2 linked regions of the Stegostoma tigrinum genome follow. The protein of the gene in region 1 interacts with the protein of each later gene in a biochemical or structural test. Links are inferred from orthologs where the notes say so. Each region holds a gene or a part of one and is shown on either strand. Other genes may lie near its edges.

Region 1 (7,090 bases):
AAGATCTCCAGGCAATGCATTCCAGGCCTAGCCCATAATCAGAGTTCTTTTCTCGCCCACAAACAGCATTTCAACTTTTGCAAAACATTTCAAGTCTTTGCCCTCTTATTCTTGATCCTTTCATGAACAGGAAAACACTCTCCCTGTTTACTGAGTCCAGCTTCTTCATGATTTTGAAAACTTGAATCAAATCAGCTCTGTCCATCCAAGGTGGATAGCCCCAATTTATCTCAACTAGCATCATAACTGAAGTGTCTCCATTCCTGGAATCGCTGTCATAAAACTCCTTTGAACTCCCTTCACTAGCTTCCTGAAGTGTGGCACCCAGTACTGTACACAATGTTCCAAGTGATATACACCCAACCTCTGATTAAGTTCAGCACAACCTCCCTGCTCTCATAGATAAGACACAGTCTATCAGTTGACAGATCAGTTTGAACCAGATAGATGGAACAAACGTGGCTGAAGCACTGCTGTTCGTGAACACTACATAAGCTCCATGTTAATCCAAGTTTAGGTCAGGGCAGACTATAGCTCTGAACCAAATCTTTAATCAGCGACTGGAATATGGCTTCATTATACTGGTGTAGTCAACTGAGACTGCAGCTAAGGCAGGACGAAGGGAACTTTCTGTACCTGAGGTGGTGTGTTTCGGGTTATAGATTGAGAGCTGTTATTGCCTGTTTTATCAGTCAATCTTACAGATACTTCAGGTTTGGAAGCACTTCATTGGGTCTGGGTAAACTGCAGCTCCATGTTCAGTCAGATGATTCAGGACAATTAACACTGGCAGGAAAGCAAACACAGGGGACATCAGAATCCGATCAAGTACACTCACAGAAAACATCTATGTTCAGACATCAGCTAAGAGAGGTCATGCAAGATGTTTGCTCAGTAGACTCCCAAATTTCTCCCTCACCAACTAGAAGTCCATGTGGTTTCAGAGCCAATACAGAAAGGAAAGATAACTTTACTCTGATGTAAAATTCAGAACAAATCTGTATTCAGCATCCAAAATAACTAAAACTTAGTTTCTAACACAAAGATTAGGTTTCACATTTGGGCCGAGTTTTGGTGCTGCCTAAACATAACACTTGCAGGAGCTTCATTAACAGCGTGGCTGCATAGTTGTTTCAAATTTGGGGAAGTGGGAGCGTTCAAAGGGGAGCAGATGGGAGATGAGGGGGCCAGGACAAAGTGGAATACCTGGAAACCATGGGCAATCCGCCTACTTGCACTTCTGTGGGCTGTGGGAGGAAATCCACGCAGGCATGTGAAGAACGTTGAAACTCCACAATGACAGTTGCCCAAGGGTGGAATTGAACCCAGGTCCCTGGTGCTGTGAGGCAGCAGTGATAACCTTTGAGCCATTGTGCCACCCACAAAATGCTAAACCAGCATTCTGCTGTTCAGTAAAGCAAAGGTTAAAGATCCACAATCATTCCATAGACATAGGCCATTTGACCATTACACCTGGGCAAGCTCTGTGGGCAATCTAAACATTCTCCTGCTCTTACTGCCAGCCCTACAAATTTCTCCTTTAAATTAACTATCCAATTCTATTTTGAAAGATACATTTGAACCATTGCTTCGAAGCAGTGTGTTCCCAGTCATAACTCACTGCATTGAAAGAAATCTAAACTACTCCTTTGGTGTTTTTTGTCAATTATCTTAAATTGGTCACCTCTTGGTTATCAATTCTTTTATGTGCCATCCCTTAGTGTTATTACTGTCCTGAACATGACCAATATTACTCCCTTATACACCTGCAAAAGCAGATTAACTGGTCTTTAACCAGTACTTGAGAGATTTGGCAGTATACAAAGTGTCAACTGAGTTTGTTGACATAACAAACATAAGTAGACTTCAAAAATAATTCACTGAAATTGAGGCATTTTGAGATGGTTTTGAAATAATAGCCCTGCAATCTTCTCCCGGCAAGAGCGGAGAACAGGCTCTTTGAGCAAAGGGGTGCAATTAGAAGATGTACCACATCAGAGACTGACAGGTCCATGAGCATGAGGTTTACAAACTGAGTAGTAATTCCTGACTGGCCAAACATTTAGGGCAACCAGCTTTCACAAATCTGCCCAAAAATTGGCATTACCAGACAATATTACAACATCTGCACATTCAATGTCATCACATGATTTTGTTCTAATGCCACAGACGCAGATGTTTGATGTGGGTTCAGAAAAACAGTGCACTAACTGCACCCCCACCCCCAAATCTGTCCCATTCCAGAATCCAGTAGGCCTTAGCACCCTGAGCCAAACCCAGATATAAAAAGGATTCGACTACTTTATTCCTGACACACTTGTGAAACAACACCACATGAACTATTCGACCAGATCCTGTCAGTTAAATATTATAACCTGTGGTGAAGTGTCATAGTTACAGACAAGTTGCCTGCAGTAACTGTAATAACCAAAAACCACCACAATCTGTACTGGTTATCGTTACCAATACTGGAATGAGCAACGCCCAGCACTAGTCAGTGTTAAAGAGCCTGATGTCTTATAGCCCGGAATCCAGGCTGGGCCTCAGCGCCTCACAACAGCCCCTGACCCCGCCAAAGCCTCGAATACACGTAAATAACAGTCTTGGATGTGTAAGGGATGCCCTTGGTTTGTTTGGGAACAATCACACGCCAGCGTTTTTGTTTCCTTGACATGCTACCAAACAGAACCGAACGGCGTTTATAACTATGTCTACATTCATAATAAGATTTATTTTTTTATGAATAAAGCATATTTTTGAAATTAGTTACAGCAGCACTGGACCCCTCCCAAAAGGCTACGAAGATGGTCCAGACCAGGGGCCGGTTCTCACAGCTGGCCCCGGCCATACGCTTCCCGCCCCCCACCTTAGAGTTGTAGTCCACCCCTCCCCTACCCACCCTGACCCAATCCTCCTCTCCGCACCTTTACCTCTTCGGCTCTGGTTCAGGCAACGACTTCAACTCGAAGGCCCCAAGATTCTCGGCCAACCACAGCTCTGACCACCGGCACCCAATCACACGCAGAGATGCTTAGTTTCAGCCAATCGTAACAGGAGATATCCCTAGGCCAATCACAGTCGGCTGATTGGGAATCAGAGACCAACTGGAGCCAAGACTGCCCAGGCCTGTAGGCGCAGGGATCCTCAAATGAACCAATCACAGCCCGGTTTCGCTAAGGCCGTAGCCAATCAATGTCGTGGCGGGCCGCGCCCTCAGACGCAAGCTGGGTCCCTCCCATCTCAACCATTTAGTCCCCCCATCACCTCTACTCCATCTCTACAACTTAACTCCCACACCCCTTCCCCATGCTCCCACTTACCCGCCGCCACCCCTCCACCATTGCCCTACTTACCCCCCACACCTCTCCCCACTTAACTCCCACACCCCTCCCACCATCACCTCCACTTACACCCTCACAACCATTCCCCTTCGCCCCCACTTACACCCTTCCCCCATGCTCCCACTTACCCCTCACACCCATCGGCCCCACTTACCCGCCCGCACCCCTCCACCATCGCCCCCATGTACCCTCCACCATCACCCACAATTACCCCCCACACCCCTCCCCATTGCCCCCACTTCCCCCAACACCCCTCCCCATGCTTTCACTTACCCCCCACACCCATTGCCCCCACTTACCCATCCACACCCCTCCATCATGGCCCCGACTTAACCCCACATCCCTCTCCCATCACCCCCACTTACATCCCACAACCATTCCCCATCACCCCCACTTCCCCCACACTCAACACTTCCAAATACCCCCATACCACTCCCCATCACCTTCATTTACATCCCCATTGCCCCACTTACCCCATCTCTCCCACTTCCACACTCCCCCATCCCTAACACTGCTCCCCATCATACCCGCTAACCCTAACCCATCACTCACACTTACCCCCCACACCCCTCCCGCACTTACCCCCATCTCCCCCACTTACCCTCCACACCCCTCCCTCATCACTCCCACTTACCACCCCCATATCCTACCCATCACCCCCACTTACCCCCCTCCCAACTTATCTCCACTTCCCCATCACCCCCCACATCCCATCCCCATTGCCCCCACCTACACCCCACACTCCTCCCTCATCGCCCCCATTTATCCCCTACACCCCTCCCTCATCACCCACACTTACTGCCCCAACATCTTTACCCCATCGCCCCCACTTAACACCCACACCCCTCCCACATCTCCCCAACTTCTCCCCATCCACCCCCACACCGCTCCCCATCAACCCCATACTGTTCCCTATCACCTCCACTCCCATCCACACCTTTCCCCATCACCTCCACACACTTCTCCCCATCAACCCCCGTGACACTACTCCCCATAACCCCCCACACACTGCTCCCCATCACCCAACCCCCCACACTGTAACCTATCACCCCCCCACACTGCTCCCTATCACCCCCACATAGTGCTCACCATCACCCCCCACACACTGCTCTCCATCAACCCCACACTACTCCCCATCACCCCCACATAGTGCTCACCAGCACCCCCCACACACTGCTCCCCATCAACTTCCCACACTGCTCCCCATCAACCCCACGCTGCTCTGCAGCCCACACTTCTTCCCATCACCCCCCACACACACTGCTCCCTATCACCCCTACTCCCCTGAAACTTTTCCCCATCTGCCCTTCACACTGCTCCCCATCACTTGCTGTTCCACCCACACTTCTCCCCATCATTTCCCATACACACTGCTCCCCATCAACTCCACACTGCACCCCGTCACTTGCACTGCAGCTGACACTGCCCCCATCACCCCCCACATAGTGCTTCCCATCACCTACACCCACTGCTCCCCATCACCCTGACACATTGCTTCACATCAGCTGCCCAACACTGCTCCCCATCACCCACGCACAATGCTCCCCATCACCCGCTCGCACTGCTCCACGTCAATCCCCCCACACTGCTCCCCATCACCCCTACTCCCCCAAACATCTCGCCATCTGCCCCCACACCGCTCCCCATCAACCCCACACTGCTCTCCACTACCCCTCACATGCTGCTCTCCATCAATCCACCCCACACTGCTACCCATCACCCCCCCCACACACTGCTCCCCATCACCCAACCCCCCACACACTGCTCCCTATCACCCCCACATAGTGCACACCAGCACCCCCCACACACTGCTCCCCATCAACTTCCCACACTGCTCCCCATCAACCTCACGCTGCACTGCAGCCCACACTTCTTCCCATTACCCCCCACACACACTGCTCCCTATCACCCCTACTCCGCTGAAACTTTTCCCCATCTGCCCTTTACACCGCTCCCCATCAACCCCACACTGCTCCCCATCACTTGCTGTTCCACCCACACTTCTCCCCATCATTTCCCATATACACTGCTCCCCAGCAACTCCACACTGCACCCCGTCACTTGCACTGCAGCTGACACTGCCCCCACCACCCCCCACATAGTGCTTCCCATCACCTACACCCACTGCTCCCCATCACCCCTCCCACACTGCTCCCCATCACCCTGACACATTGCTTCACATCAGCCGCCCAACACTGCTCCTCATCAACCCTCCAACACTGCTCCCCATCACCCACACACAATGCTCCCCATCACCCGCTCGCACTGCTCCACGTCACTCCCCCCACACTGCTCCCCATCACCCCTACTCCCCCAAACATCTCCCCATCTGCCCCCACACCGCTCCCCATCAACCCCACACTGCTCCCCACTACCCCTCACATGCTGCTCTCCATCAATCCACCCCACACTGCTACCCATCACCCCCCCACACTGCTACCCATCACCCCCCCCACACTGCTCCCCATCACCCCCCCCACACTGCTCCCCATCAACTCTCCCCCACACCGCTCCCTCTCACACCCAGACACTGCTCCCCATCACCCCCCCCACACACGGCTCCCCATCAACCCCCCCCACACTTGTCCCCATCAACCACACACAATGCTCCCTATCACCCCGCACACACTGCTCCACATCACCCCCACACACTTGTCCCCATCATCACCCACATACTGCTCCCTATCACCCCCACTCCCCCAACTCAAATCTCCATCAGCCCTCACACCATTCCCCATCAACCCCACACCTCCCATACAGCTCCCCATCACTTCCACTCCCCCATACGCTGCTCCCCAGCAGTTCCCCCCCCACACTACTCCCCATCACCCCCCACACAGTACTCCCTATCACTCCCCATAGACTGCTCCCCGTCACCCCCCCCACACGCTGCTCCCCAATACCTCCCACATGATGCTCCCAATCAACCCCCACACACGACATCCCCAATTCCCCTAAACAGTGCTCCCCTTCAGACCCCAGGCACATTTCCCCATCACCCCTAGTTTGTCCCCTACCCACTGTTCCCCAACATCTTCACTTCCCCAGACAGTGCACCCCAACCCCCTTTCCCCCAGACAGTGCTTCCCATCACTCCACTCCCCCACACACTGCTCCTGATCACCACCACTTCCTCCCCCAGGCACTGCACCCGGTCAACCCCACTCCCTTCCTCAGGCACTGTTCCCCGTTACCCCTTATTCCCCCGGACAGTGCTCCCCTTCAACCCCCAGGCACTGCTCTCCACTACCTCCTCCCCCAGGCACTACTCCCCATCATCTCCACTTCCCCAGGCAGTGCTCCCTCAATCCCCCCACTCCCTTACAGATTGCTCCCAATCACCCCCAAGCCCCCAGGCATCTCTCCCCATCACCCCGCCCCAAGGACTGCTTCCCATCACCTACACTCTCTTCCCCCATTCATAGCCCCCATTATCCCCACACCCTTGCCCCATATTGTTCCCCCTGTTACTCACTGCCCCAGGCGCTGCCTCCCATCGCCTCCTCCCTGAGACCCTGATCCCCATTCCCCCCTCCCTCAGACACTGCTTGCCTGTTATCCTGAACTTCTCCTGCTGGACCATTCCCCCCACCTTCTCCCCAGGCACTGCTTCCATCAACCCCTCCCCAGACTCTGCTCCCCTGTCACCCCCTCATAGAGGCATCAGCCTCTTCATAAACCCTTCCCTAAAACACTGTTTCTGCCTTCTCCTCCTCCCCGAGACAGGATTCCCCATCAACACCATCCCC
Region 2 (7,110 bases), on another chromosome or scaffold:
AAGGCATCTGGAGGGGTATATGAATAGAAAGCATTGAGGGATATGGATCAAATGTTAGCAAGTGGGGCTAGGGCAGATTGGAACATCTGGTCAGCGTGTACAAGTCTTAGAGGCAGAAGGAAAGGCTACAATACTTAATGTGTTCTTCATTTTAGGGTTTGGGAGGGAAGAGTCAATGAAATATCAAAAAGAGACGGAATCAAAAGTGAGAAACAGGAGTTACAGGAAAGAATGACCATGCTTACAGTAGATAAGTCACTTGATGCAAATGCCTTGCATCCCAGGTTACTAAAGGAAGTGAGGCTGGAGTTAACAATAGGGGTCACCATGCACATCTCAACTTCTCCAGATATGATGGAGATGCCAGAGGACATGATCAGAGAAAGCACGTTTACACATTCAAAATAACCACAAAGGTCAGGTTATGTCAAAGGTAAGACTTTAGAAAGCAAGCAAAGAGGTTTGATTATGGAGAAGCAGCACAGATTGGTAAAAGATTGTGTTTGACAAATTAATTGATTTTTTAAAATGAGGTTAAGAAGGAAAACTGTTGAGGGGTTTACAGCAGATGTCTTCATGAATTTTAGGAAAGCGTCTGACAGAATATGAAAAAAATTGCTGGTTAACAAAATTGATGGTCATAGAATAGGAGGGTCAGTATCAGCTTGGCAAATAAAATGGCATAAAACAACAAATAGTGATAAATTGTTTATCCAACTAACTGTGGGATGGTAGGCAGTGCTGTTTCTCATGAGGCAATGGTGGAACCGCTGCTCGTTCTCACATTCTTTGAAACAAATGTCGTCAATACAGGAATGGAGTCAGATTTCAATATCAGCCAATGATAGCAAACTAGGAAGAATGGTGCAGAATAAAAGTGATACCAACTGATTGCAGTAAGACAGAAAGAAACTGACAATTGCAGATGGAACTTGGAGAAATTGGAGTGACGCTCTTTGGAAGTTGGAAAAGACAGCAACAACTTAAACTGAATTGCACCATTCTAGAAGAGTGTACAGGAACAAAAGAACCTAGGTTCACTTGCACAGATCTCTGATGGCGGTGTAACGTACAGACAGTACAAAGTTATATGGGATCTTGTGCTTTAAAAATTGGAGGTATTAAATATAAAAACAGAGAAGTTACACTGAACTTTTAGTGGAGCTCTGGTTAGGCCACAACTACAATATGGTGTCCAGTTCTCAACACTTCACTTTAGGGAGGATATGAACGCCCTTGACAGGGTGCAGAGGACATTTACAAGAACGGTTCTAGGGGATAGGAATTTTAGTGATAAAGTTAGGTTGGAAAAGCTGGCATTGTTCTGTTGGAGCAAAGGTGGTTCTACAGGGATTTAACAAAAGCATACAAAATTATGACAAGTTTAAAGAAAGTAGACAAGGTAAATCTGTTCCCACCATCTGATGGTAAAGGATTAAGGGACACAAATGACGTTTTGGGCCAGAGTTAGAGGGGGATGAGAGGACTTTTAAAAAAAAAATATAGCAAGTGGCAAGATGTCTCCGTGGATGGTAAGCAGAGGAGGTCCAAGATTTTAAAAAGAAAGCAGTTGAGCACTAGAGGTATATAAACTTGCAGCACGAAACAGATACAATTAGTTAACGGAATGGACTAGATTGCTCTCAAATAGCATCAAGATGTATGGGTACTGGAGTCAAAAATAAAATCAAATGTCTGGAGAGACAGTTATTCTTAAAGAACAAAATCATCACCCAGTCTGTCAAGGGAAATGAGCACCAAATACAGTGGGTCAGAGTGAAGAAAGTGCAAGTTAGTTGCTGCTTTACCTGGAAGGGGTTTTTGGGCTTTTGGGCAGTGAGGAGAGTCAAGGTAACGGCAGATGCCACGTGGTTGCATGGCTATCTGCCATGTTGAGTTGAGGGGGGCAGTCAAAGAGACTTGTGGGAATGGGGCATGGATAGACTGAGATGTCCAGTGGATGGGGAGACAGATGGAAAGACATTGGTGGAAGAGATATTGGAACTGGAAATGGGGAAAGATGAAGAGGTGTTGAAGGAAGATAAAGTACTACTGTGGGCAGGGGAGTGTGTGAAGATGAAGTGATATTGTGGGGAGGGGAAGAGAAGATGATGAAGTGATACTGTGGGAGGGAGGCAGGGAGGAAGATAAAGTGATACTGTGGGTGTGCGAGGAAGATAACGTGATACTGCGGGAGGGAGGGGGGAGATGATGAAGTGATACTGTGGGTAGGAGGGAGGGTAAGATTAAATGATACTGTGGGAGGGAGGAGGGTAAGATTAAGTGATATTGTGGGAGCGGGGACGATGAAGTTATGCTGTGGGGGGCGGGGAGAGTTAACAGATGAAGATGTTGGGGGTGACGGAGTAGTCGACCAGAGAGACGCAGAGGGAACGGTCCCTATGGAATGCCGACAGGAGCCTTCTCTAAGTCAAATCTCGTTACGAAAAATCCAGAAGGCACAACACAGCAGTGCTGCACAAGCAGGGGGTTCCACAAGTGAAATCCCAGTAGGAGGAAGCGGGGCTGAGCTTGGAGACAGCAGTGTAGACGGATCCAGTGCACACGAGAAAGCCACGCACCAGTGGCCTTAGGCCGGATTCGCGGAAAATGCTGTGCCCCCTGCTCCAATTTACATCCGAAATAACAACCTGGGGAGGCCGCCAGTCTGAAAACAATATCCCAAATGGGCGGGGGCGAACATCTGCACAAGAATTGGTGCAGGAACGGTACGAACTTGTACAGGGCGAGTAAAAGGAAAGAAAATGTGAAATGAAAACAGCGCCTCCAAAATCCCCGCCATCCAAGAGAGAAAATTTACATCAACTTCTGGCTGAACGTCCGACTACGGGCGGTCTCTTATAATACAGTTGAACCCCCCCAGTTTGCACTAAGATCCCTATCATGTCTAATACATACCGCCCCATATCCAGGATAAGCCATACTCAGAGTATAAAGGACCGAACTCCGCTACAGAGACAGACAGAGAGCTGCACTTCCTCTTCCCCAACTCCGAGCAACATACGCCAGGCTCAACCATTACCCAGAGCACTGGGGGTGGGAACCGTAAAACTCCTCAGAATCAAACAATCCTCACACACAGGACGTTTTCAATCATTACAGAGCGTTATATTTGATTCACTCAATTTCATTTTGACGGGCATGATTAGTTGATCCGGGCCTGTCTATGTTTCACCCCGCCGTGTTTCCCCTCACCTCTTACCCCCCTCCCTTCACTTCCGGAGTTGGTATCTCTCCCACCATGTATCGGGTGTGGTTTCCCACAGCCGCTGCCGGGGAGCTTAGGGGAATGGCATGTACGTTTGTTGAGTGGATAGCCTGTCTCGGGGAACAACTTTCGGATATGTCTCATGTTGTGGGATGATGGTTTTTTTTATTTCGTCGTTGCATAGGAACATCTTATGTTTAATTTAAAAAGTATATGTTGGAAATAATCGATATGTTTTGTAGAGGGAGGGAGAACATACGCACGAATTTTGTTACAGTTAATCTACATCTGTTTTGAGGCTGGATGCCTGAAGGGTTAGCTTGTCTGTCGATTGAGCATTTCCATCTGTTTCTCTCTGTTTGGATTTTCTCCATTTCAGTTTTTATTTTACTTTTTCTTGAGTTTTAATTAGCTAAGACAGTCCACTTCTCAGTATAAAACGTGTTCCTAGGGCTGGTGTTTTTATTATCTGGCCATAGAAACAATTTGGCCTACTCAGGCTCTTCAGCGTGGTGTGTATTTAGTTGAATTGTGGCTGATCGCTTCAGATTCATTTACCTGCCTTTGCTTTTTAGTGCTCGTACAAAATGAACTAACGATCCATTTTAAAGTTAATTGATTCGTGCAGCACAGAAGAAGCCCTTTGGACAAGTGAAAAGCACCTCATCTTTGACCTAAGAGATAATGGGAACTGCAGATGCTGGAGATTCCAAGATAATAAAATGTGAGGCTGGATGAACACAGCAGGCCAAGCAGCATCTCAGGAGCACAAAAGCTGACGTTTCGGGCCTAGACCCTTCATCAGAGCCCGAAACGTCAGCTTTTGTGCTCCTGAGATGCTGCTTGGCCTGCTGTGTTCATCCAGCCTCACATTTTATTATCTTGGATATAAACCTAACTTGATGAACCCTTAGTAAGATTCATCCCAGAAATGAGGCATGAACTTTCCTTGAAAGGCTTCTAAACCATTTATGCACTTTTTTCAAATAAGGAGAATAACACTTAGACAATATTCTAGTTGTGATCTCTGCCGCACCTAGTACAACCTCTCTCCAGACCTTTATATTCTGTTCCCCTTGCAATAAATGACAACATCTTAGTTGTTTTTCTAATCATTTTCTGTAGTTGCAAACTAAGTTTATGTGATTCTTGGAATTGCCTAAGATCGTGGCGGAGTAGCTTTTCAGGTTTTTTTTGCCTCATTTCTCAGTTTTTTTTTAAACCTATCTCCTATTGTAGGGTTCAGTTGAGGAGTTGGTATCGGTGGTGAACGGGCTGTGTGTAAACGCGAAGTGAATCCAGCATGGATTTACAGCAGTCGGCAACTAAGCCCAGCGTGGACACAAAGTGAGCCCAGTGTTTCTGCATCATCAAAGTGTTTTAGTTCCGACTCATGGCTGCTGTGGCAGAAGTGAATTTAGATTCTCGGTGGAGTCTGTATCGAGCGCAGATCTGTGGAGGCTCAGGCGAGTTTGGGCCCAGTATGAGCCCCAGCATCAGTGGCTACAACAGCACGGTGGGGCCAAAGTGGACTCATGGCAGCAGGCAGGGTCGAGAGTTTGGGCTGGGTGTGGCACACAGGTGGTAGCTGTAATTGTCGAGTTCCAGCAAGGACTCATAGCGGAGGGGGCATTGATGGAAGCGTGATGGTGCTGAAGATTTGTGACTCTTGTTCCAGGGGATAGGTCAGTCCGGGGAGGATGGACAGGTCAAGGAGGCGGGATGAGGTTAGCAGGTGGGAAATTGAGGTGAGGCTTGAGGTGGGAGGAGGGGATAGGTGCAAAGAAGAACAGGTTAGGGAGGTGGGGACGTGCTGGGCTGGTTTTGGGATGCAGTGGGGGGAGGGGACGAGCTGGGCTAGCTTTGGAATGCGGTGGGGGAAGGGGAGATTTTGAAACTCATGAAGTCCACATTGATACCATTGGGCTGCATTGTTCCCAAGCGGACTGACCTATCCCCTCCCTACCTCCCCACCTATACTCTCCTCCTATCTTCTCCTCTATCCACCTTCGGTCCGCCTCCCCCTCACTCCCTATTTATTCCAGAACCCTCTCCCCATCCCCCTCTCTAATGAAGGGTCTAGGCCCGAAACGTCAGCTTTTGTGCTCCTGAGATGCTGCTGGGCCTGCTGTGTTCATCCAGTTTCACACTTTGTTATCTTGGACCACAATATGGTGTCATGTGACCTCTGACTTTGTCAACACTAGCACCCCCACATGATGACTGTCAGCCGTATACATGTGACAACAAATAAATAAAAATGTACAAGGACGTTACGGTTTCTCTAACATGGAATGTTGTTGGTTTTATCAATCAGGACATTGTGATCAGGAACAAGAAGGTTATGTTGAACTTGCACATTAAGCAATGGTTTGTCCTCAACTGACTTATTGGGTTCACTGTGGGCAGAACACTTACAGAAAAATGTGAAGGTTTTAGAGAGAGCAGAATAAAAGTCACAAGAATGATCCTCATTGATGAATTTCAGTTCTGTTAATGCATTGGAGAAGTTGGGATAAATTTCCTATTAGAAACCCGCCTGATCGCATTACTTGACAAGTCTGATCCCAGACTGAAATCTTGCTTTTAATATGATGACCTTTAACTGAAACACAAAGATACCATGCTGCAGTTTAACCATAAGACAGAAATATATTGTGCAAAAGAAATGATGATAATGTGGAATAAATACATTTGCTTGGAGCACAGTTTTAAAGATTTCAAAATACATGGTAGAGTACAAGCCATTAATCCCAAATGCAGTCCTTCTCAGTGCCCACGCCAGCGAGAGACACCCTTTTACTTTAATATCTACAGAGCTTAATTTAACTATGGTATCAATTCCCCAACTTGAAAATCTAGTAGCCTATTCCTGGAGGCTTCATACAATTGAGCGTAGACATTCTCAGCTTCAAATAACTCCTTCAGAGTTGTGACCAAACACTTCTGGGATGGGACATTTGTCAAAAAAAACTCCTTTTGCTGAGTTAACCTATTTCCTAACACTCCTAAACAACCTCCCTTTCTTAGGAGCAACTGTTGTACACATTTAGCTTCAGCCAAGGTTTCAAACAATTGCCCCAGATGGAAACTAAGAAGCTTTTATTTTCTCTGAATGTTTCCCCTAAATTCCCCCAAAATTACAGAATCTTCTGTCTGAAAATCTAAGAGATCATATTGTTTAATTTGTTCACTCAAAATCCCCAAAGTAAACAAGTTCGGATTAGACTCTCTGAACTAGCTCTGTCAGACTATTATAAAATGTAAAATCACCATGGCTGCAGAAATTCCTACCAATTCATCATCAAATCCTACAGACACACTGAATTATACTCCAAAATTATACATAGATCACATATTTTACATCACACTTGGAGAAGATTGAGTATACATTTGATTGATGTACTCATACAAAATGTAGAAAATAGGAGGAGTAGGCCATTTGGCCCTTTGAGTCTGCTCCATTTTTCAATATGGTCATGGCTGATTACCTAACTCAACACTGTTCTCCCTTTCTCCAATATCTTTTGATCCCTTTAGCCCTAAGAAATATATCTAACACCTTGAAAATATCCCATGTATAGCCTCAACCCATTTTCTGTGACAGAGAATTTCATTGGCTCACCACTCCCAGGGTGAAGGAAATTTCTCCACATCTCAGTCCTAAATGGCCTATCCCATATCCTTAAACTGTGATCAGAGATAATGGGAACTGCAGATGCTGGAGAATCCAAGATAATGAAGTGTGGAGCTGGATGAACACAGCAGGCCAAGCAGCATCTCAGGAGCACAAAAGCTGACGTTTTGGGCCTAGACCCTTAACTGTGATCCCTGGGTATGGACTCCTTGGCCATAGGCTTGATCTTTCCTGTATTTATCCT

The links. The genes of interacting proteins can lie anywhere in the genome.
Region 2: the proteins of annexin A7-like (region 1) and sorcin-like interact in a biophysical measurement, tested with the Homo sapiens proteins (2 studies listed by BioGRID and IntAct, with this or other methods). The link is inferred for Stegostoma tigrinum from reciprocal best matches to the Homo sapiens genes ANXA7 and SRI.

The regions. Positions count from the first base shown.
Region 1 is NC_081390.1:1,963,203-1,970,292, forward strand, and holds the start of annexin A7-like, read right to left. Parts: upstream 3,028-7,090; 5' UTR 2,931-3,027; exon of another isoform or gene 2,925-2,930; intron 787-2,924; exon of another isoform or gene 637-786; intron 1-636. UniProt on the Homo sapiens protein: Calcium/phospholipid-binding protein which promotes membrane fusion and is involved in exocytosis.
Region 2 is NC_081355.1:110,330,598-110,337,707, forward strand, and holds the start of sorcin-like, read right to left. Parts: upstream 3,060-7,110; 5' UTR 2,944-3,059; coding exon 2,920-2,943; intron 1-2,919. UniProt on the Homo sapiens protein: Calcium-binding protein that modulates excitation-contraction coupling in the heart. Contributes to calcium homeostasis in the heart sarcoplasmic reticulum. Modulates the activity of RYR2 calcium channels.